5 linked regions of the Mus musculus genome follow. The main gene of each other region encodes a partner of the protein of the gene in region 4 in a complex. Links are inferred from orthologs where the notes say so. Each region holds a gene or a part of one and is shown on either strand. Other genes may lie near its edges. The genes, in order: Nsmce2, Nsmce4a, Eid3, Nsmce1 and Smc5.

Region 1 (4,624 bases), on a different chromosome or scaffold from region 4:
CTGAATTATGATTTGATAACTTAAATTCCCTGCAACTGTAGCTCACATGAGGAATATGGAGAAAATATTATGGTTGTTTACATAAAAGAACAACCCTTTATATACATACTTCAGTCATTTTTTATCTTTAAGACAGAGTCTTGTCATATAGCCCTGGATAGCCTGGAACTTACTATGTAGTCCAAGCTGGCCTCACGGGGCAGCGATCCTCCTGCCTCTACCTCCTGTGTGCTGGGATTATAGGTACATGTCATCATGCCTGCAGGGTTCTCACTATAGCTTTTACTTCATCAAAACAGGCAACTACAGATGAGGGACTTTGTCTGTGTGTGTTTGTGTATGTGTCTCCCTCTCACTTATATTTTCCAAATTAAAAAAAAAACCAAATATTATTACTACAAATTACAACAACTCCTTAACTCCAGAACATATTTCAAAGCGGATGGATCCATTAGCCCCTTTAATAAGTCACAGTGTACCTTGGATCTGGACACATAACCACTGCACAAGCCTGTTCCATCAGGACCGTCACAGCAGAGTGAAATCTAAAGAACAAAACCTATCAGACATGCTACAGAAGTAACTGGCAGTACTCAAAACACTAAGCTAACAATTCCATTTTGCAAGCGCCACAAAGTATCTTATATAGCACTTTAAAAGAGTATTGATATTTTGTTTGCTCTGCTATTTAAGATCAGGACCTTTTAAAATAACATTTCAGGGGAAATTAAAGGGAAACTTCTGTTATTCCCAGTGTTGCAACGCATGGGGAACTCTTACATAAGGAAGTGTTCTTTTCAATATAAATTTACTTGTCATTAGATTTAACTATCCAAATGATGTATATGGCTGGACTTGGGGAAGCACATCTCTCTTCTCTCTCCTCTCTCTTTCTCTTTCCCCATATTAAAAAAGTAATAATCACAATTTAAACATTAATTTGGTTGCATTATATGCTTCTGATTAGAAATTTCCCCAAGACCATTTATTCTAAAATTCCCTATAATTTCTTTTATGGAACAATAACTTTGTGAATAAGTAACAAAGGAGGAAGAAACATACTTTTTATATATTTATTCCTCGGTTTTATTATAAAATATCTTTAAAATAAGAGGTGAGGCATTAGGTCTGTCATAATGTGTAAGACTGAATTCAAGGGCACTAAAGTTACAAACATGTCTGCTATGGCAGACATAAAACCTGAAAGCCCCACTTTCTCTCTTCTGGGGATTCTGCTCTACTGGGGAACTGCATAAAATTATTTGAGAAAGATTGTGATAGTGACAATGCTCAATCAAGAACCAAATCGAGGGAAACTGCTTACTGTTTAGATCTACAGAACAGCAATAGTCTCATCAGGATTGCAAAACATTCTAAATTGTGAAACTTAAGTTATTTGTAAAATAGACAAAAGTGAAGCAGCTTCCTCAGTCATTTTTGAGATCTCAGCACCAATTTAAAGAAATACTTTACTTAAAAGAAGGCCAACTTCAGCCGGGCATGGTGGCGCACGCCTTTGATCCCAGCACTTGGGAGGCAGAGGCAGGCGGATTAGAGGCCAGCCTTGTCTGCACAGTGAGTTCCAGGACAGCAAGGGCTACACAGAGAAAACCCTGTCTCAAAAAACCTAAAAAAAAAAAAAAAAAAAAAAAAAAACCCACAAAAAAACAAAACCAAAAAAACCAAAAGAAAGCCAACTTCAAAACATGAATCTCTACACTAAGTACATAGAAAGACACAAAATGAATTTACATCACATAACATCCTGCTCTGTCAGTGTACACATAAGTGTGAAAGAAGGCTAACGTTTGAAAGGGAAAAAAGTCATTCACTTTCCTCTTCAATTCTTTAAGGAACAATCGTGTCTCAATCCTAAAACAAATAAAACAAACAAACAAACAAATCCCTATACAACTAAACAGCTGCCTAGACAAGAAAAAAAAAGATCTAACTCACTAACATTGCTCTGAGGACCACATGGAGAAGGTTTACTACTTCTGGTACTGTGTGTGTGTGTGTGTGTGTGTGTGTGTGTGTGTGTGTGTGTGTGTGTGTCTGTCTGTCTATCTGTCTGTCTGTCCGTCCGTCCGTGTCTGTGTGTGTACACAGTGGATTATTTTCCTCACTGTGGAGAAGATATATTATTTCTGGTACACTCTGTAAGGTAGGGGTGTGCGTATGTAAAATGAATTATTTTCCTCACTCTCATTTTCAAGTCAAAACCCTAACTGTTAACAAGCATTTAAGCCAATTTTAAAATCACATGGAACTTATAGTACCCAGGGTACAGTATCAGAGGGACTTTTAAGCATTTGGGAGGAATCCCCGAGGAAACCTCACCAACGCTGCCCCACAGCAGCAAATGGGAACAAATGTACTTCAGAGCTTGGCACAGCAGTTTACGTTTTGAAAGAATTACCATTGTTATCTTAATAAAATGGTTTTTAGTTTTATTTTGTTTTCCCAAGTCCCCTCCCCAGCAGTGAGACACTTTGTGGAAACTGTTGGCTTCAGAAATAGACAGGCAATTGGAATCAGTATTAGACAAACACGAAACTGCAACAAGACAAGCCATTCAGGCAGAGGATGGAGCAAGCAGAGAAGCGGACACTGCTCACAGGTCAGGCCCCTCATCTCAAGAAGCCAGAGCGAAGCGGCTGACTTACATTGCTTCTTCAGCTCCCTCAGCTGTTGCTTGAACTGCACGAACTTTTCATTCTCTTTAAAGTCGGCATCAGAGTTCTTATCCTGTAAAGCCAAAAATTTCTTCTCTACCAGTAATTTTAAATCTGGTACTTTTTCTGGACGTTCTTCTTTTACCTAAGAAAGACCATAAATTCATGTTCGTTAGAGATAATGAGTATCAACAAGGGCTATACAACTGTCTTAATCTCATTTAATTCAAAAGACAGTATGAGAGAGAACAGATCCTCTCACGAGACTACTCAGAAAAAGTGACAGGCTCGCCCACCCTGCCTTCCTGCTCTACACAGCCTGTCACTAAGTCCATGAACTTGTTAAACCCTGCAGAAGAGGCGACTGGCCCAGACCTGGCCTTCACCCCTCTTCTTTCACCTGGATCTGCTCAGCCCATCTCTACATGCAATAGTGTTTATTCCATCTTCAGTTCAGCATCCTCTTGCAGCCCTTGATCTGTGGGTGACAGTGATCCCTACATTAACAAGAGAAACTAAGGTTTTGACTTTCTACAGTTCCCTGGTCTAACAAGGAGTTGAGTGTCCTGCTTGTTCTGTTCAAGGCCAAACACTCAATGTATGTTCTTCTCCCTAAGTATTATAAAGTTCAGCCACACGGAAACATTAAAGGTACTGGATTGTGAACACTATGTATGTCATCACTGCTGCAGTTACCACTCGACTGTGTTTGCCCCTCCACATCTCTTCCCATCTATCGTGCTCTTGAGTCTGTCTTAATTAACTTCCCTAGACCCTCAGGTGCTTTAGAACACACGTGCAGCAGCAGCAGCAGCAGCAGCACTAACAACAGCACTCTATTAGAAGTCTGGCGCTTCCTTCCATGCACTTGTTTTTTGAGCGTAGCCCATGCCTTTGTGGTTTCCACTCTGTTTTGATGGAATGGCTGACAGCACCTTGGTTTAAACAGTTTGCCCCCCCATCAATAGGGCAGTTGGAGACCTCTGAGGTTGGGTCTACTCTTCCAAGAATTGGCTAGGCAAAGCTGAGTAATTATAAATTTTACTTGATGTCTTAAATATTTTCACTACCTGCACTCCCACTCATTCCTCACCAATTTCCGACTGCAAAAGCTTTTTAAGGCCAAATAGTTCCATCCAAACAGCAAGATTTCTAGTGAGGAGAAAACAATAAGCAATTTAGCCTTTATTACGCAGACTTCTAGGAATAATTGTAGGACAAAGGCAGGGAGGACAGCTGGCAAAGCAACTGCCTGGCTCGTGAAGAGTAAACCTGCAAACTCTCTGATGACAAACTAATGGAGCTGCTGCCAGAACAAGCTAACTGTTCACAATTAAGTGTTAGAGCATGGATGAGAAAGTACCCTAGCAGTGGGGAGTCAAGCGATACCACAAAGTCATGCACACAACAAACCTCAGAAAGAAGCAAGCTGTTACTGGGAAGGGAAAACCCAGAAGGATGGCAGAGAAAGCCAAGCAGGTGACAGGAATGAATGAATGAATGAATGAGTGTGTGTGTGTGTGTATTCTCTTTGGAAGCTGGGAGTAGTAGAGCTTTCCAGAGTGGCCCAGCATTAGAAGGATTTTGTGGTTGATCTTAGGGTAAGCTCAGGGGTTGGTAGCTTTTTGTTTGTTTGTTTGTTTGCTTTTTTTTTCTGTAGGCTGGGGCCTGGCCATTCTCCTACCCAGGAGAGGAGGAGCTGTTACAACCATTTGGGAAGTCTGGGAGGAGTTGTCCAGTGGAGCTCCTAAGGGGCCGAGCCTGGCCACTCACACCTGGAGAGGTCAGGCCTGGCCATCAGAGTAGCCCAGGGGCGGAGCCTGATGGTAGAGGGCTGCAGAGGAAGGGCTTAACAGTGGGAAAGTTAGTGTGAATAGCCAACATTTCATCTTCTCAGAACCCACCAGAGATGACATAACCTTACATATTACAGATGGGAAAGTGAAAAA
Region 2 (5,207 bases), about 5.1 Mb from region 4:
CTTTTCTTCCATTTGATTAGACCATCGTGAATCGGATGGTGCCCAGCCAGGTTTCTGAGGGCAGAGCTTCTCAAGGAATCTGAAAACCACCCCAGATTCACCTACAAATAACATTTTTGCCAGCGTTCTGGGCATCCCTTATCAAAGTTAATCATGTAAATAAATATAAACTCATCACCACAGAGTGGAGAAAAGCCCCCTGGACTTCAACATCGGACTCTGATCGGACATCGGACACTGCTATAAGCTTGCGTTTTATTTGTTAAAGAGATTTGCTATGTGTGCGCATGTATGCCTGGTGATGCTACATGCATCACGTATGTGCAGGAGTCCAAAGAGGGTGTCGAATCTTCTAGAACTGTTGTTCTAGACAGCTGGGAGCCACTATGTGGATACGGAGGACTGATGCCAGGTCCTCTGTAAGAGCAGTAAGTGCTCTTAACTGCTGAACCATTTCTTCTCAGTAGTCTACATTAATACAGAGAATAGTATTTCATCAATCACATTCACCCCTTCTTCCCCACACACTCTTCTGTGATGTCAATGCAAATTAGTGTTTTAAATTAACCCAGCAACATAAAATATGAAGAGATGCACTTATATACGTGTAAGGGTGTCTATGCATAGCTTCCTAGTTCTTTTTTCTTTGGAGGCTCTAGAAGCAATGATATCTCAGTAGCAGTGAGCTCACTAGGCTTTGGATCTTGGTCTCAAAATCCTCTCAGCCTTTGTGAGGTAGTTAGATTCACGAGGATCAGGAACTCAATATTAGCTTCAGCTACAGGGTCAGTTTGAGGCCAGCCTGGGTTACATGAAATCCTATGTGAGAGGGAGGGATGGAAGAAGGAGAAGTGTGTGTGTCAGAGGGTAGATTACCTCAGGATTCCTAAGGTGGCATAAAAACTGGTACATGGGCGGGCGGTGGTGGCACATGCCTTTAATCCCAGCACTTGGGAGGCAGAGGCAGGCAGATTTCTGAGTTTGAGGACAGCCTGGTCTACAAAGTGAGTTCCAGGACAGCCAGGGCTACACAGAGAAACCTTGTCTCAAAAAACAAACAAACAAAAAACAACAACCAAACTTGTACACGGCAGTGTGGATCCATAATCCTAGTGCGTTGGAAGTGAAGACAGGAAAATGCCTAGATCTTGCTGGCTATTTAAGTCCTGTCAAAAAGACGAGTTCCAGGTTCAGCTAGAGATGCCTTATGGTAAAGAACGTGGAGAGTGGGCTGGAGAGATGGTTTAGAGGTTAAGAGCACTAGTTCTCATAGGAGTAGGGTTCCATCGCCGTTATCCACAGGGCAGCTCACAAACCCTTCTTAACTCCGGTTCCAGAGGAGGTGTGCACGTCCTATTTTGACATCTGAGGGCACTGCATACATTTCGTCCACAGTGTGCACGCAAATAAAGGATGTATATACACACACAACAAATCTAAAAAATGTGGAACTGAAAGAGGAAGACCCCTGAAGCCAACCTGCCGTTTGTACCCGCAGATGCACACTTGTGCATGCGTATCTATGTACAGTGCACACACACACAATTACATGGAATGATATGTATACATGTATCTTTGAAACCACATTGCATATAATTATCTTCCTCAGACCTGTTATAGGGTATCTGTTGTTAGAGAATCAGCTGTGAACCTGCCGTGTGGTGGTGCAGATATTTAGAAGGAGGCTTAACAGTTTACTATGGTACAGTCAAGGAACCCTGTTTTGTTTGTTGTATCCTCCCCAAGGCCAGAGGAGCCAAAGAGACAATGGGAAGATGCATGACTAAGTGGGGTGGGCATTAGGATCAGAGATCTAAAGTCCTAAGACTCTTGCTTGCAGGGTGGAGTAACTAAGAACCAATGCGAGGCACAGACACAGCCAACGCCGCCGCGACCTCCGGGCCACAGGTGTCGCTGTGTGCTCACGCGCCAGCCGGGGAGCTGCGTTGCTCCTGGAGCCGGCGCTCGAGCCCAGCCGGGGGTTTCAGTTTCTGGCGCGAACTTCCGCCGCTCCGAAGTTGCAAGGCGAATTGGCGCGATGTCTGGCGACAGCAGCGGCCGCCGGTCTGAGGGCCGGGGCCGGGGCCGCGACCCGCACCGGGATCGCACCCGCTCCCGGTCCCGCTCGCGGTCCCCGCTGGCCCGCCGCGGCGCCGCGCCGGAGCGCAGGGAGGCAGCGGAGCGTCCGAGCTTGGAGGACTCCGATCTGTCTGATTCTGGGGACGAGCTGATGGACCCGGCCTGCTTGGAGGCCGAGTACGACCAGGGCCTGTGCCGCCAGATCCGCCATCAGTACCGCGCTCTCATCAACTCTGTCCAACGTAAGGTGGCGCTTTGTGGCTGCGCGGGCCGGTGGCGTTCCATGGCTGGGGAGGGCGGTGGAGGTGCAGGCGCTGGCCGGTCTGCGCAGGCTCGCGGCAGCGCGCTTTCGCTTGTTTACGAAGTGCAGCCTACGCGACCTTGGCGGCGGCCGCGCAGGTGCTGTGTGGCCGGCTGGAAAAGCGGGAGACCAGACCTGGTGGTGACTTGAGCTCAGCTAGCCAGTAGGGAAGACAAGCACACACCACCAGATTTTTGTTCAATCTAGCTTGCTCCTCGTGGGCGCCTGAGCTATGGAGTCCCTTGGGATTGCTAAAATGCACATTTCCCTGCCCAGCTCGGATACACTGAATCAGAAATGCTGTACAGGCCCAAGCGTTTGTTGTGTGGCTCTCCAGATGAGCCTGTTGCTTGAGAAGTTGACAATCCTTTCTTAATCGAGCCCTTGTATTGGGAAGCCGAAGAGTCATCCCTTTGCACATTTGGGGAGCAAGTGTTTCCTGTCAAGAGTTCAAGTTTTGAGGGCTGGGGAGATGGGCAGATGCTTCTCTTGCGACCTTAATTAGATTCCCCAGAACCCTCTAAAGTGTCTCCTAAAAGTAGTTCTGTAAACTTGTATCCTCAGCCGAGGGGAAGCAGAGACCCTGGGTCTCTTTGGCCAGCTCACCTAGCCTTCTTGGCTAGTTCTATAGATAGATAGATAGATAGATAGTTCTATAGATAGATAGATAGATAGATAGATAGATAGATAGATAGATACCCTGTCTCAAAAGGCAAAGGTGATGGTGCGCTGAGGGAAGGACATCAAAGGTTGACCCCAGGCCTTCTGCACACACAGACGTTCAATTTGCTTGGAACAGTAGTAACATTGTCTCTTTCTGTAAAAGATAAAGCCTTTTTCTGTTAAAGAGATAAAGCCACTCTAATCATTACCCAGGCTGTAGGAGTGGAAGGAACTGTAAGTTGCTACTTATTAGTGAAGGATGTGCCCAGTTCCCTAAGCTTGTATTCTTTTAAATAGAAAACCGGGAAGACATACTGAATGCTGGTGACAAACTAACAGAGGTCCTGGAAGAAGCTAACACTCTGTTTAATGAAGGTAATTCATGATTTTAAATCTGTTATTGCAGCTTATACTCACTGGGTTACTTTTATAGAAGCCAATTATTGTTGTTCCATAATTCCCATTTACTAGTGCACAGGCCCAGAGCCTTTTCCGTTTTAGCAACAATACTGTGCACTTACCACTTGGTACAGTGTATGCTTTAGGGTTCTTCGAAGATTTCTAGAAGTCAGGAAGGAGTTGTACAGTCTGTTTTAAGAAGCCTCTTCCATGAGCTGGGCAGTGGTGGTACACACCCTTTAATCTCAGCACTGGGGGGTGGGGGAGGGGCAGAGGCAGGTCTCTGAGTTCAAGGCCAGCCTGGTCTGCAACTGTCTGTTCCTGTGCATCTACAGCTACACACAGAAACCCTGTCTCAAAAACAAACAAACAAACAAACTAGCTGGGCGTGGTGGCACACGCCTTTAATCCCAGCACTCCGGAGGCAGAGGCAGGCAGATTTCTGAGTTCAAGGCCAGCCTGGTCTACAAAGTGAGTTCCAGGACAGCCAGGGCTACACAGAGAAACCCTGTCTCGAAAATAACAACAACAAAAAAGACTAACAAAAAAGAAGCCGTGATTCTTTTGCTGGCTTGAATTTGAAAGTTTCACTTGTATGTTCTGTTAAGCAGATAGATGAACTAGAGAAGAGTGCAGCCAGCTTCAGAGATCCTCTTTTCTTTTCCTTCCTTGGTCTCCCCTCCTTTAGCTATTGATCCACCTATAACCTAATGGAGGTGCCTCATCTACAGGCACACCTCTTGTGTGTGGTTGGGGACAGTGGGGAAGAACTTTCCGTGTTGAAATCTGGCTCCTGGGAGTTTTCTATTTGTTTGAAGTTGTGTGTCCATGTGGGTTTGTGCACATGAATACAGTTATCTGTGGTGGCCAGAAGAGGATATGGGATTCTTCTCAGAGCTGGAGTACACGGAGGGTGTGAGTTGTCTGACAAGGGTGTTGGGAACCCAACCCAGAGGCCTCTTGGAAGAGCAGTACTCTGTATTAACTGCTGGTCCCTCTTCCCCAGCCGCATGGGGGCTTAAAACCACAATATTAGTTTGAATTAAAAGCAGCAGCAGTTGGTTGTAGTGGTGACCGCTTTGGCTGGTATCCAATGAGCAAGGTGGGTGTACTTCCTGATGGGAGACCAGGACAGCTACACAGACCATGTTTCTCTTTGGGCCTCTCTCACTGCTTTAGGAACAGAAAGGGGCAACTGCAGTGATAAGGAGAGAAACCAGGGATGCCCTGTTCCCTGCTAGCCACAGTTCCTCATGATCTTTCGGACAGTTTGCTTCTAGTTATCTAGGATGCCTGGTTGTTTGCGTTGTCACAGTGTTTAGTGAGTGTTGTCCTTCAGTCTTTCCTGCTCTGGCCATGGCCTCCTTACAGTTCACCTTTTTGGTCTGGAACATACACTAAATCACTTCCAGAACTTGAAGGATTGTGGCTCCTCTTCCACTTTTCCACTGTCAAGCTTTTTCTTCCATCATAGCCTGGACCCACGGTCTCATTTGTGATTGGCTCATTTACACCCCTATTATCAACCGTCCATCTTACTGACTTCTTCCATGTTACCTCCCTCAGTAGAAGGCAAAATTATTCACTCAGCTGGGCTCTCAAGAGTTATTCCATGCCGGGGTGCATACCTTTAATCCCAGCACTCGGGAGGCAGAGGCAGGCGGATTTCTGAGTTCGAGGCCAGCCTAGTCTACAGAGTGAGTTCCAGGACAGCCAGGACTACACAGAGAAACCCTGTCTCAAAAAAACAACAACAAAAAAACCC
Region 3 (4,214 bases), on a different chromosome or scaffold from region 4:
AAAGCCTGCCCCCACAGTGACACGTCCTTCCACAACACCAAACCTCCTAATAGTGCCACTCCCTATGGGCCAAGCATACATATGGGGGCCATACCCATATAAGCCACCGTATATGCCAAAAGAAAAAAAAAGGAGTCGGACAGTGGGCAGTGGTGGTGCACACCTTTAATCCCAGCACTTGGGAGGCAGAGGCAGGTGAATTTCTGCTTTGGAGGCCAGCCTGGTCTACAGAGTGAGTTCCAGGACAGCCAGGACTACACAAGAAACCCTATCTCGAAAAACCAAAAAAAAAAAAAAAAAAAGAAAAAAGATCAGTAATAGTTTTTAAGATAGAGTGGAATACGCAGGAGACCGATTTTGCAAATGAGGAAACTCAAGTATATGGAAATTACAGAAGCATTTTTTTTTTTCATTTAAAGATGTGTACATTTAAATGTGGATATGTGCGTGTTGAGTACAGAGGCCTGTATGTACATCCTCAACCTAAAAATATTTTTCTTTTCCTAAAACCTAAAACAATGAAAAAAATCATTGCTTTGTATATAAAAGAACATAGTAAGTATGTACTCGGTAGTTAAAACCACTGATTATATAATTTTTATTCTATATGTTATAATTCCCATCTTATAAATGAGGGACAGTGGTGGCTTGCAGATTTAGCACCCGTCTAAGTTAATATAAGTAGATAAAGACTGGGACACAGGCTTTTCTTCCAGCCCATTTTTAGATTGGATTCCTTGAGGTGGAGTTAAAGTTGTGAGCCTGTAAGTGCTCTTAACATCTAAACCTTGTCTCCAGCCCCTTCAGCCCATTTTAAAAAATTAAAAATTAGTATTGTGATATATGTATGATGTATGTTTAGGCATGAGTACCCTGGTCTGTATGTCAAGTTTAAAAGACAGCATATGTGTAGACATGAGTACCATGGTCCATGTATGGAATTCAGAGGACAAGTTTGCGGAGTTGATTCTTTCACTCACGTTGAGTGGTTCGTCTTTTTGAAGGTTTATTTTTAAAAGTATGTGCATGCACACATGATTGCCAGTGGAGGCTAGAAGGAAGTGTTGGAACTGGAGTTACAGGCAGTGGCTGTGAGCTACCCCATGGGGTGCTGAACTCTGTCACTGACAGAGTCCCGTGCCCCCCCCCCCCCCCCAAGCTTTCTGTGGTGAGAGTTGGGTATGATGCGCTTGTTGAACTTAGAAACAAAACACTCCTCACATTGTTAAATCGCTGTGCACTGATAACTCCAGCCACTTAATTGCGCCATGGGTCACTGGTGAGCTGGTGTGTGGTTCCCAAAGCATATTATTCACCCAGTAGGTGATAACACAGATGGTGCGAGATGATACTAAAAATCTTCTTAGTTTGCTCATCTTATAGGATTCAGGTTAACCTCCTCTGTAGTGTATAAAAGCATTTAGCCTTTGGCAGGCTTCCCTTGCAAAATCCTGCCTGCCCACTGTTCTTCCACCCTTGAGTGGAGACACTCCTAAGAGTGTAAGGGATGGTGGGGGTGGGGGGCAAGAAGCATCCTTCATGCTGTGAATTAGCATGTACTTCCCTCTAAGCAGAAAAAGAACAACGGGAGCCTGGGCTGGAGGTGTGGTCTCTGTGAGCTGGGGGGCGGGGTTGCTTGCGCATGGGCAGGAGGCTCTGTTCCAACGGCTTACCTTTGCCATCTCGCGTCGCTACGGTTGGTAGGTAGTATGGTAGTAGCCCTGGGAGAGCTGTTACCTGCGCACCACCACCATGTCTAAAGAAAAATGTTCCCTTACTGGAGGCAAAGAGAAAAGAGGGGAGCTGGTCCGGAGTCTGGCATGGCAGCACCTGGTGAAACAGGAGGAGGAAGAGGCAGTGAAGAAGGAAGAAAAGGAGGAAGGGGAAGATGAGGAGGAGGAAGGCTCAGACAGTAGCTCCGATGACCCGAACCCCGAGCCCCCCTGCATGCACCCAGACCTCCTGGAGCTGGTGGTGGATCGAGAGAAGTGCCGCAAAATCCGCAGGCAGTACCGGCAGCTCATCTACACCGTGCAGCAGAACCGCGAGGACATTGTGAACACGGCCAGCGACACGCTGAGTGAGGCCCTGGAGGAAGCCAACGTGCTGTTTGACGGAGTGAGCAGAACCAGAGAGGCAGCCCTTGATGCCCAGTTCCTGGTTTTGGCCTCTGATCTGGGTAAAGAGAAGGCGAAGCAGCTAAACACCGATATGAACTTTTTTAATCCCATTGCCTTCTGCGATTTGCTGCTGTTGTTTGTGGGCTTCAATTGGGTAGAAGAGGAGTGTAAGGAATTTAGCGACTGCGATGATAGCATAGTTCTTTCCTTTTGGGGCATGTTGCACGAGGAAGCAACCTCCTGGATGCTGCAAGCCGAAACGTTCCACTTCATTTTTGGGTCATTTAAGGCAGAACGTTCTGCACGAAAGCCCCGGCTTGGATGTCACAAAAGAGCTTGCAAAATGGAAGGAAGTGGAGATATGCCTACAAAGTTGAGGAGGCTGGATGTGCATGCTAATCAGGAGACGACAGAAAAAGAAGTTGAGAGAATCTTGGGATTGCTGCAAACCTACTTTCAAAAGTACCCCGATACTCCAGTGTCATACTTTGAGTTTGTGATTGATCCAAACTCATTCTCTCGCACTGTGGAGAATATCTTCTATGTGTCTTTTATTATTAGGGATGGCTTTGCAAGAATAAGGCTTGACCAAGACAGGCTGCCAATTCTAGAGCCAACTAATGTGAGCCAGGTGGATGATGAAAGTGATTCCTATTCGTACTGCAGGAAACAAGGCGTTATATCTTTGAGTTTACAGGACTGGAAAAATATTGTCTCCACTTTTGAAATTTCAGAGGCTATGATCAAAAACTCATATTAAAGAGTTTTATTCATAGTATATCTTGAACTAACATCGAAAAATGGAATCTAAACAGAAGCACAAACTCTAGTAAACTATTTTCAAGAACAAATGAAATTGTCTACTGTGCAGTGTATTTTACTTGATAATCTAATAAGGTTGTAATCTTAAAAGTTCACTCTCATGCTTATGGGAAAGTTTTTTTGAAATTCACATGACACTCTCAGTAAGCTCCCGAGTTTCTTAGAAAGTATTAATTAGCCAACTTGCTAAACACAAAAACCAGGACTCACTGGGATACTGAATTGCTTTTTCTGACGCTGCAAAACTAAGGGCAAGGGGGCTTTTCACCAGGTCGGGGCAAGAGTGAGAACAAGACAAGAAAAGTCAGTAGTGTTCAGACTCTCAAGTCCAGGTGACGGGCTTCCTTTCAAAAAGTGGATCTCTGTATTCTGAACTTTGTTTTTGATAAATGAATTTAATAAAAGTGTGTGTGTGTACTGTAAGACTGAAGCCACTAAGTCTTGAAAGGCAGGTCCAAGTTAGACAATAGGGAAGGCATCCTGGCTTGGTTTTGAGACAGGGTCTCCTCATGGAACCCTGGCTGGCCTGGAACTCACAGTGACCTGCCTGCACCTGCCTCTGCCTCCCACCACACTGGGGGAGAAGGCATCCTAGGGAAGAAAACAAGATCAAATCTGTGCCACTGAGACGAGTCATGACCCAAGAGGCTGGGCAGATTTACAGAAAATTTACCCTTGACTATGAAGCAGGCGGGAATGTCCCTGACCTCGCCAGTGTTCAGAGGTAGACAATATTTGTCACTCCCAGTTGCAAGCCTTATCTTTGGCTAATCTTTCACCACTCAGTATCATCATGATTTTTACTAGCAGTGTCCCTCCGTGATGTTTCAACATGTAACAACTCTGATTGTCCCAATTAAACTTGCTTTAATAAACAAAAGGCCCAGGGGTTTTGCTCTGTATCTGGCCTATCTAGTGAGAATTCTCTATCCACCCACCCCTGGCCCCTGTGCCCCACGTGCCCAGTTTCTTGTGGGCCTAAGTTGGAAACAGGGTGCTGATTTGAGTACTTGGTCTGGCGTGGTAGCCTTTTGCTTCTGAGAGATTGCATCAGAGGAAGCTGTGCTGTGAATATTTTAAGTCAGGAAGGAGCTCCTGTTGCAGATATTTGTATGATTTTTTTTTTCTTTCTCTTGGTACCTTGCAGTTTTCAGAGTGTAAATCACAGATAACTGGGGTTCTGGTTTCACGATTAAGTTTTCTTAGCATGAGTCCTGAGGTAGCTTCTGCCCCCAACCTGAGTGGGGTTTCTCTGTGCGTGCAAATTATCTG
Region 4 (4,624 bases):
CTTCTCCTACCAGGGCTGGCTGGAGGCTTAGGTGTCGAGTTTGTTATTCAAATAGATGAATAAGGCACCTCTTTCTCTTGCAGCTGGAACTGATCGTTGACTCAGAAACTGGCTTTGCTTCTTCTACAAACATTTTGAACCTAGTTGATCAACTCAAAGGGAAAAAGATGAGGAAGAAGGAGGCCGAGCAGGTGCTGCAGAAGTTTGTGCAGAGCAAGTGGTTGATTGAGGTACCCTGGGGCCTCCCCGTTCACTCAGGAGTGCACAGTCTGTGTGCTAGCAGTTGAGCCCGGCCTGTCTGTGGGCCCTTCTCTATTGTAAGCTTTCCATGACCTCTGAGAGGAGAGCCTGTGTTCCCTGACTTTCACATGGTCTGTCTTAAGTGCTGCAGCCACAAGTGGAAGAGGCTGGAATCAATGGAAGGCTTATCAGATGCCTTTCAGAATGAAGTTGCTGGCTGTCCCTTCTGTAGACAGCTTGGAGCTGCTGCAAGCGTTTTCTTTTTTGTTGTTTGTTTGTTTTGTTTTGTTTTTTTTTCAAGGCAGGGTTTCTCTGTGTAGCCCTGGCTGTTCTGGAACTTACTCTGTAGACCGGGCTGGCCTCGAACTAAGAATTCTGCCTGCCTCTGCCTCCCAAAGAATGCTGGGATTAAAGGTGTGTGCCACCACTGCTCAGCTTTTTTTTTTTTTTTTTTTGGCTGCAAGGGTTTAATGGGAGTCCTGAAAAAAATCTGTGAGCTGTTGTGGAGGGGAGCATGGAGGCCCTCCACCTTGCCACCCATCAGCCCCTCAATCTTCTCAGTCCTGTCACTGGGTATCCCTTGAGTTCTCGTTCACCATGTATCTGGTGAAGGAAGGCACAGGCTCAGGCAGTAGGGGTCGCGGTTGGGAGAGCACCTCTGGGCTCCTCCACTTTCTGGGCAGGGCTGCTGTGAGTTCTGTAGGGGCCCCACTGAAGGATTGTTGACCGGGTTGCTGGCTGGTCCCTGCCAAGCCTTCCTAGGCATCTGGTTCCTTGATCCGAGGGACTCGGTTTTAGAGGCATCTTTGGCCTCAGAAATGCAGCCTCCCTTTGCTAAGGCTTCCCACAAGGTTTCATTGCTCAAGGGCTTAGGTATTATGCAGCTGGATGGTCCACTAGGAGGCTCTGGACTGGAGGGTGGTAAGTCAGGCATCAGAGCTTGGCCCACCTTTCCTCGTAGTTCAGGTTGGCTCCCTCTAGTGGCATGCAGCCTCAAGAGCAGGAGAAGGAGGTTCAGGAAGCTGGCCACTAGTATGGACCCGGGATCTTTGACAGGTTCCCACAGAACTGAGACTAGCTTGCAAGTTAGCCATGCTCCTGCCACATCTGAGGAGGCCCCACGTCCCTGTCTGCCTAGCAATAACCACTGCTCAGGATTCTTGTGCTCTGTGTACAACAGCCTTTCTATTTCTGAACTCCTTGCCCACTGCCCACTCTTGCTCCTGGAACTAATTTCACTCACTTCTTTAGTCACCAGGCCGCCTCATAAATGCTCTGTTTCCACCCTGCCACTTCTGCCTTGGAAAGGAAGCCTGTCTTCCACAAGCATCCTTCCCCACTGGTGGGTGGGGAGGGAACTCCAGTGTGGAAGACAACAGTATCAGGGGGACTATCTTGTTGGACTGTCTCCTCAGCCTCCTTCTATTACAGGGCCACCTTTGTGTGTGGCCGTCCTGTCAGCTTCCCTCTGTCCACGTCACATGCCCAGGATCACTGAGCCTCCACGCTGGCTCTTCCAGCTTCATTTGTAAAGTGGCAGGCAGGGCTGGCAGTGATGGGGCAACACTGGTGGTAAAGGGCTGGGAAGTGGGCACCCGGCTGGGGTTATCTTGGGTTACCCATTGGGATATTGCTCTCCTCCCTGGCCTCTGTCTTCTCTTGCTGACGACACCAACTGTGACTAGCTTGTAGGGTGGCTGTGAAGATGGGGTCATCATATCTGTGAAGGCAGGGGAGGTTCTGAGATCTGGAGGGTAAGAAGACCTTCGCCTCCATTGTCTGACATTTAGTTTCCCTTTCTGGAGATTTGGCTAAGGGGACTTTGCTGACATTGGTTGGCTGGGATTGGTGACAGTGTGCAGTGACTAGAGTATCTAGACCTAGTCCTCCTGCACTCTGGGCTGTGGGACCCGGAGAGTCAGCACTGAGCTAGCGTGAGTGTGTTGTATCTCTGCAGAAGGAGGGAGAGTTCACCTTGCATGGCCGGGCTATCTTGGAGATGGAGCAGTTCATCCGAGAGAGCTACCCAGATTCTGTGAAGATGTGCAACATCTGCCACGGCCTCCTCATCCAGGTACTGCAGGCAGCAGTGGGAGTGGGGTCCTGATGCTCAGCCCACTGGACCTCTACTGTTACTATATACTTCAGGATATAGCAGCTTTAGGACAGGCCATGCTATACTCCTGCTGCTGCACTCCCTAGCTCTCTCCCTGGCCACTCAGCCGTATCCCAGGGTACTGTTAGGTGCTGGCTGATACCTTAAGCCTTGGTAGCTCTGTGGCAGGTTTTTCTGTCCCCACCATTCTGCTGTTCTGCTTTGCAGGGTCCCCTACGACTCAGTCTGGCTGGATGCCTGAGTTTGCTTCTTTTTGATTATCTTGGACAACCAGGCTCCATACTGATCTTCTATATGTGTATCCATGGGGCCCATGGTATTTCTATGTTCAGATTCTCTGGCTTATAACATGCTTCTCTTGATCGTAAAGTGTGCGATACATGTTGCTACTTGGCCTACTACAAAACTGTATGCCTCTATCTCCCACCAGGGACTCTCTGGTCAGGGGCTTGGGTTTATTGCCAGCATTAAGTTGGGGCCTAGAAGGTTAAACCCTCCAGCCTGCTAGCCATTTTCTTGCAGCTTTCTGAAGGTTTGTGAAGTTGAGAGATGTGCTTGTCCATGGTCATCAGGCTTTCTTGTTTCAGGGTCAAAGTTGTGAGACGTGTGGAATTAGGATGCATTTGCCTTGTGTGGCCAAATACTTCCAGTCCATCCCTGAACCACACTGCCCCCACTGTAATGACTACTGGCCCCACGATATACCAGGTACGTGGCCTCCAGAGTGCTTATGGGATGGGGTGACCTTGTGATGGGCTGTCTGTGGGACCTCTGTTCTAAGTCTGGGCCCCAAGAGCACCCGAGGCATGAGGAGGTCTCTGAGCATGAAGATCATCGTTAGTGACCTGCTGAAGCACAGGTGAACACTGCCTTATCCTACAGGGCTCTAAAATCCAATAGACCCCAAGGTTTGTGAGAGCCAAACAAGGCTGTCCTTATAGCCACCCAGGGACAGGGATGGGAAAGCCACTCCCCAGCTCCCTCAGTGAGCCATGCTGCCTGGCTCACGGTGCTGTGGGAGGAGGGTTAACAGTGACATGTCCTCATGGGAAACAGCTGTAGATGTAGCTGCTGTACTGTACTGTGTGATCAGGCCATTGGTCCTGCTGCTCATTGTGTGTCTCTGTGCTGTTCTATACACAGAAGTCTACAACCCTGAGAAGGAGAGGGAAGCTGGCATCTCCAAGTCGAGCAGAAAGTCCTTACGGACCCGGCAGCACTAGCTGTGTCCTGCATCGTTCTGGGCTGACCCTCACAGTCCATTTAGGACTGCCGTGCCTCCTTTGTTATTTGTTCTTAACACGTTTTTAGTAAATGTTTCCTGATGGCGCTGTGCTCTGTAATCCAGGGCTTGTGTGAGGTTGGGTTCCCCTTGCTGAGTTGAGTGGACTGGCCTGAACGGCAGCCCTGGGCAGATGTCTCTTTGGCTGGCTCTGGGTGCCATTGCTTCGTTGCAGTTTTGGCCCATGATATTAACCTTAGTGTCCACAGCTACAATAGGCCCTTACTCTGGCCCCAAGTGCAGTAGACCCCTGCAGGCTGGGCTGGACTAGATCAGGCTGTCCTCAAACCCTGTCCATTTGGCCTCACGACTGCTGGCCAGACTGGATCCCACCTCTCATTCCCAGCTGCCGCAGCTGCTCTGCTCCTGGCCTCAGTCCCCTGGACAGTCAAATGCCGTACCCTGCCGCCGAGACCTTGGTTTGATTTCAGATGGTTGCATTGAGTTAGGACTCATGGTGAGGGTTCTCACCTGCTCACCTCAGCCTTCCTTCCTTCCTCAGCTCCTCCTCTTTGGTCCCTGGGCTCACAACCACAGTGCCCGTTGAACTTCCTTGATCACTACTTGCTGCACTGTGGTTCCCTGCCTGCTTCTACTCACCCCAATATGTCAGGACTCATACTGGCTCAAATGAGGAGGGACATGCTAGCATTCCTTCTGGAGGCTTAGGCTGGTGGTTCCGATGATGTCACCAGGTCACCCCACTTTTTAACCTCTGTTGAACTCCGGCAGGAAAGCAGAACAGGTCTAGAATAGCCAGGGCTTGGAGTTGGGGGCTCTGGGTTGGGAGTGTTTGAGTCCCTGGTCCCAGGATCCTCTGCATCCTCACAGCCTTCAAGGTGAAGCTCAGGGGCAGTCTCTCAAGCCCTGCCCTCAGGACTACACTGGGCAAGGTGGCTCTGCAGTCCCTGCTTTGGGATGGCTAGCTGCCTGCTTATCCTGTGTCACAGTGGTACAGCTCAGGCCATCCCTGAGGGTGACCAAGG
Region 5 (4,624 bases), on a different chromosome or scaffold from region 4:
CATGTCTCAGGCAGGCTCCGTGTTCCTACTAAAACTGAGTACCTGTGTCAAACAGCCAATAAAAACAAAGATGTTAAAGGGTCTTATCTCTTCATTTAGACTAGGAATTTCTCTAGTAAGACAAACCTTAACAGTGTTGGTCGTGAAGCTTCCGAGACCGGGGGTAGGGTGGGAATCACAACAACCTATTATTGATAGTAGAAAAATCAGATGTAATGATATTATGGTGCTTAGAATGTTTTGATTTGTGAAACTCTTGTGTAAATGAAGAAAAATGATTAAAGAACAAAGGTCAAAATAAAAACTCTTTGAACTCTATGAAAAGTATTTTCATCTAGTATTGTCAACATGGAAAAAGGAAGTCTGAGATTATGTTCCTTTAACCAGTGCAGTGAAGGGGAGGAAAGCGTAAACCATTGGGCACTGGGCTCTTAGTGTCTCTTAGGAAAAACTACCAAACTACATGTCCTTGGGAGAGATGTCAGCAAAGCGAAATCGCAGCCTTTTCACTGTTTAGTGAGCTTTCTCATCACTCTGAAAGTATGCCTTCCCAAACATTTCCCTAGGGTGCATTAGCCACACTTAGAGGTGTTGGATAGCTTGTGTTGAGTCGGGGATATTGCTCTACTAGAATTCGCCTGGGTTTTGGTCTTAATTCTTTAGTCCTTTGAAGCATATATTATACTTTTTATTAGATATTTATGAATTCCTGCTTTACATTACAGGTAATACAAGAAACTCGATTAAAACAAATTTATACAGCAGAAGAAAAGTATGTGTTAAAAACTTCTGTGTATTCAAATAAAGTTATTTCTAGTAATACATCCCTGAAAGTAGCCCAGTTCCTCACTGTTACTGTGGATCTAGAGCAAAGAAGACACTTGGAAGAGCAGCTAAAGGTTGGTTCACTTGATTTAGTTACTAAAATGTCAACTGGAGTTTTAAGACTTTAATTTAAAAGGTTGTTAACAATTTTTTAATACTCCTTAGGAAATGAATAGACAACTGGAAGCAGTGGACTCAGGGTTGGCTGCCTTGCGTGATACGAACAGGCACCTTGAGCTCAAAGACAACGAGCTAAGGCTGAAGAAGAAGGAGCTTCTTGAAAGAAAAACCAGGAAAAGGCAGCTGGAGCAGAAAATCAGCTCCAAGCTGGCAAGGTACTGCGTGGCTTGAGATGGGAGTTCAAAACACATGGCCTGAGTGTCTGCTAGCTCAGTCGTGGAATGGCAGCAGCAGGTTATAGTAATTTCTAAAGTTTTAATATCAGCTTTCAAATTGCAGTCGTGGTGCATAGGGCAAAAGTCAGACTAAAGTGTTCTCTCCAGTCCTCTCACCCACTCAGTGCCTAAGTGTAAGTGTTTAGAATGCAGTTAGAAATTATATTCATGTAGAAAAATGACAGTTGTAGTTTCTTTCCTAAGGTCTGTGACCTCTAGACATGTGTAATTATCTAGGTTTGTAATACCAGGAATGAAATACCTGCTATTGAGCAGGCCTTAAGTCCAGTTAGACAACTTTTGGTTGCCTCTAATATAAAAGTGCTACTATTCCACTGTTGAGGATTCTTTTTTGAGCTGGTAAACATGATGGCATAGACTGGGGACATTTCACAAGGCCCTATCCGTAAATAAAGAGCTCCAAGCAGTCGGTGGCTGTTGAGAGAGGGTGAATCATTTTTCCCCGAGTTATCATTCTTCCTGATAGGTTATCTAATCCCAAGTGGTAAGCCTTTGTTGTTGTTGTTTGTTTTTTCAAGACAGGGTCTCTCTGTATAGCCCAGGCTGTCCTGGAACTCACTTTGTAGACCAGGCTGGCCTCGAACTCAGAAATCTGTCGCCTCTGCCTCCCGAGTGCTGGGATTAAACTTATGCGCCACCACTCCTGGCTCCAAGTGGTAAGCCTTAATACATACGTGTACATATGAGAAACACTAAACAGACTCACAGAGAGACAAAGGAATATAGAGATATCATGAATTTGAGGGGTGTAGGATAGAGTGGTTGGAGGCAGGAAAGGGAGGTATATGGAAATGATGTGAATACAGTATTCCTACTAAGTTTTCAAAATATAAGATTAAAAAGCTGGGAAAATCAGAAAAGATTTTTTTTTAAAAAAAGACAACAAACTATATTACAGAAATTTTCTTTGTTTTTAATCTTTTTTAAAGCAAATAGCGGGCTGGTGAGATGGCTCAATGGGTAAGAGCACCCGACTGCTCTTCCGAAGGTCAGGAGTTCAAATCCCAGCAACCACATGGTGGCTCACAACCATCCGTAATGAGATCTGACTCCCTCTTCTGGGGTGTCTGAGGACAGCTACAGTGTACTTACATATAATAAATAAATAAATAAATAAATAAATAAATAAATAAATAAATCTTTTTAAAAAAAAATAAATAAAAATAAAGCAAATAGCTTCTTTCCTGCATTTTCTTTTTCAATTTTTAACCTTGTTTATCAACTTCAACCCTTCACATTAATCCTATCTTCAATTATTGACAAACCATTTAAACTTTACTGTGTGACTTCTGTGATTCCCTTGTTGAAGCTTGTTTAAGACTTTCTTGTTAATGATTTTTGGGAGAAAATGAGTTTTTGTTTATTACCAGCCCATTACTTTTATTTCTGCCTTTATTCACTCTGTGGTGGTGCCCTGCAGCGATGGTTGGACCCTCCGTTCAGTTCATCCAGATGCTGTTTGAAAAGTTAGGGGTGGGTGGATGGGTTAGCGGTTCTTGCCAGGCTGCACCTTGCGCTTCCGAAGGCTTTCATAAGTATTACGCATCTTGCTTTCCTGTGCAGCAGCATCCGCTTCCTTGGACAGCATCCGCTGTACTTGTGGTTCTTAGTTAGGACCTACAACTTCTGCCCTCTCTGTCTCCTCGGAATCACCATGGTTTAGTGGGAAGACAGACCATGGATTAAACTTATCCTACAACTTAATATCTATAATTGTAGGTGATGACTTTGTTTCTTCATCTTTAAAATCATCTCAGTGATAATTGTCAGGGTGCAGGGTGTAGCTCATGTGGCAGGCTGGCCTCACACTTGTGTAGCTGACTTACCTCAAACTTGGGATTTTTCTGCCTCTGCCTCCCAAGTGCTGGGTTGTGTACCTCCACTCCAGATCAGTGCTGCTGTGGGGATGGAATCCAAGTCTTTGTGCTTATTAAGCAAGCACTCCACCAACTGAGCTCCATTCCTAACCCTTATGTTGATTTTTCTTCTGGTTTTTTTACGAATGGGTCAGCTCTACCTGCTTAAGGACTGTGTTTTATGAACAATGTCAGTATCAACCTGTATTAATAAATAAATAATTTCTGGGCCAGGTATTATTCTATGTTGTGTTTTTTCTTCCATCTGCAGTGTACAGATGAGGAAGCTAAAGCTCCAGCTTCGCTTCTTGATGACTGACAGTGGGGAATTCAAACTTCCCTTCTGACTCCATATTCTGCATCAGCACCATTCCTGACACTAGACTTTGCTGGTCATATAGCTCCACAGTATATTTTGATCCTGACTGATTGTATTAAAAGGTCCTTAATCTAGAAACTAGTATTTATACTTCTGATTACCATTATTATTATATAACCCAAAAACTTCGGGGACCTAAGGCTTTGGACTCGGTCCTTTGTTTAGCTCTGATCTCTCCATCATTATATGTGTCTGTCATACAGTATAAGGCTGATGGAACAGGATACTTGCAATCTGGAAGAGGAAGAACGAAAAGCAAGTACCAAAATAAAAGAAATAAATGTTCAGAAAGCAAAACTTGTTACTGAATTAACAGGCCTTGTAAAGGTAAGATGTTTTTCTTAATTTTCAATATTTTTTAAAAACACTTGCTAAATACTAAAATTTAGTAATATTTGGAGGACTTTATGAGAAATCATCACTTTAAAGTGTTTTTCTAGTTTGGTGATATAAGCAAGAGATTTTTATAGTCATTTTCGGCTTGTTTAGGTTTTAATGCTTGCAGAGAATCTTTTTTTTTTAATTTATTTATTATATGTAAGTACACTGTAGCTGTCTTCAGACACTCCAGAGATGCCAGATCTTGTTACTGATGGTTGTGAGCCACCATGTGGTTGCTGAGATTTGAACTCTGGACTCTTTGGAAGAGGAGTCGGGTGCTCTTACCCACTGAGCCATCTCACCAGCCCACTTGCAGAGAATCTTAAAAGTTAACTCATTAGGCTAAATTATTTTCTTTCAAATGACCTAAATATTTAGAAAGTAACTTTTTAAAGTAGTTTTATATTAACCATTTGATGGAGATGTCAATCACAAGAAAATGTTATTTTTTCATGATTCATAATTTTGTTTTGAAAAAAAGAACTGTGGCATTTTTCATGGTTGTAAAACTTAAGCAACTTAGACAACATAAAAACCAAAATCTTATGGATTGTTTGTTTCTAGATATGCACTTCTTTTCAAATTCAAAAAGTTGATTTGATTCTTCAAAATACTACAGTGATCTCTGAGAAGAACAAGTTAGAAGCAGATTACATGGCGTCATCTTCCCAGCTGCGCGTCACAGAAGTAAGACATTCTTCCCTTAGTTTTTATATTTTAGGGTCCGACCTTAAACTAGTCTAAAAGGATACATCGCAGGCTATTGT

Evidence for each region.
Region 1: Nsmce1 (region 4) and Nsmce2 share a complex: the UniProt entries of both Homo sapiens proteins name them as parts of the SMC5-SMC6 complex. The link is inferred for Mus musculus from reciprocal best matches to the Homo sapiens genes NSMCE1 and NSMCE2.
Region 2: Nsmce1 (region 4) and Nsmce4a share a complex: the UniProt entries of both Homo sapiens proteins name them as parts of the SMC5-SMC6 complex. The link is inferred for Mus musculus from reciprocal best matches to the Homo sapiens genes NSMCE1 and NSMCE4A.
Region 3: Nsmce1 (region 4) and Eid3 share a complex: the UniProt entries of both Homo sapiens proteins name them as parts of the SMC5-SMC6 complex. The link is inferred for Mus musculus from reciprocal best matches to the Homo sapiens genes NSMCE1 and EID3.
Region 5: Nsmce1 (region 4) and Smc5 share a complex: the UniProt entries of both Homo sapiens proteins name them as parts of the SMC5-SMC6 complex. The link is inferred for Mus musculus from reciprocal best matches to the Homo sapiens genes NSMCE1 and SMC5.

Annotation. Positions count from the first base shown.
Region 1 is NC_000081.6:59,453,509-59,458,132, reverse strand, and holds part of Nsmce2 (E3 SUMO-protein ligase NSE2), read right to left. Parts: intron 2,821-4,624; coding exon 2,667-2,820; intron 1-2,666. UniProt on the Homo sapiens protein: E3 SUMO-protein ligase component of the SMC5-SMC6 complex, a complex involved in DNA double-strand break repair by homologous recombination. Is not be required for the stability of the complex.
Region 2 is NC_000073.6:130,544,106-130,549,312, reverse strand, and holds the start of Nsmce4a (non-structural maintenance of chromosomes element 4 homolog A), read left to right. Parts: upstream 1-1,931; 5' UTR 1,932-2,038; coding exon 2,039-2,321; intron 2,322-3,340; coding exon 3,341-3,418; intron 3,419-5,207. UniProt on the Homo sapiens protein: Component of the SMC5-SMC6 complex, a complex involved in DNA double-strand breaks by homologous recombination. The complex may promote sister chromatid homologous recombination by recruiting the SMC1-SMC3 cohesin complex to double-strand breaks.
Region 3 is NC_000076.6:82,864,955-82,869,168, forward strand, and holds Eid3 (EP300-interacting inhibitor of differentiation 3), read left to right. Parts: upstream 1-1,671; 5' UTR 1,672-1,752; coding exon 1,753-2,880; 3' UTR 2,881-2,976; downstream 2,977-4,214. UniProt on the Homo sapiens protein: Tissue-specific component of the SMC5-SMC6 complex, a complex involved in repair of DNA double-strand breaks by homologous recombination.
Region 4 is NC_000073.6:125,466,719-125,471,342, reverse strand, and holds the end of Nsmce1 (non-structural maintenance of chromosomes element 1 homolog), read left to right. Parts: intron 1-83; coding exon 84-230; intron 231-2,197; coding exon 2,198-2,314; intron 2,315-2,943; coding exon 2,944-3,064; intron 3,065-3,499; coding exon 3,500-3,579; 3' UTR 3,580-3,699; downstream 3,700-4,624. UniProt on the Homo sapiens protein: RING-type zinc finger-containing E3 ubiquitin ligase that assembles with melanoma antigen protein (MAGE) to catalyze the direct transfer of ubiquitin from E2 ubiquitin-conjugating enzyme to a specific substrate.
Region 5 is NC_000085.6:23,228,094-23,232,717, reverse strand, and holds part of Smc5 (structural maintenance of chromosomes protein 5), read left to right. Parts: intron 1-725; coding exon 726-899; intron 900-990; coding exon 991-1,160; intron 1,161-3,679; coding exon 3,680-3,803; intron 3,804-4,421; coding exon 4,422-4,544; intron 4,545-4,624. UniProt on the Homo sapiens protein: Core component of the SMC5-SMC6 complex, a complex involved in repair of DNA double-strand breaks by homologous recombination.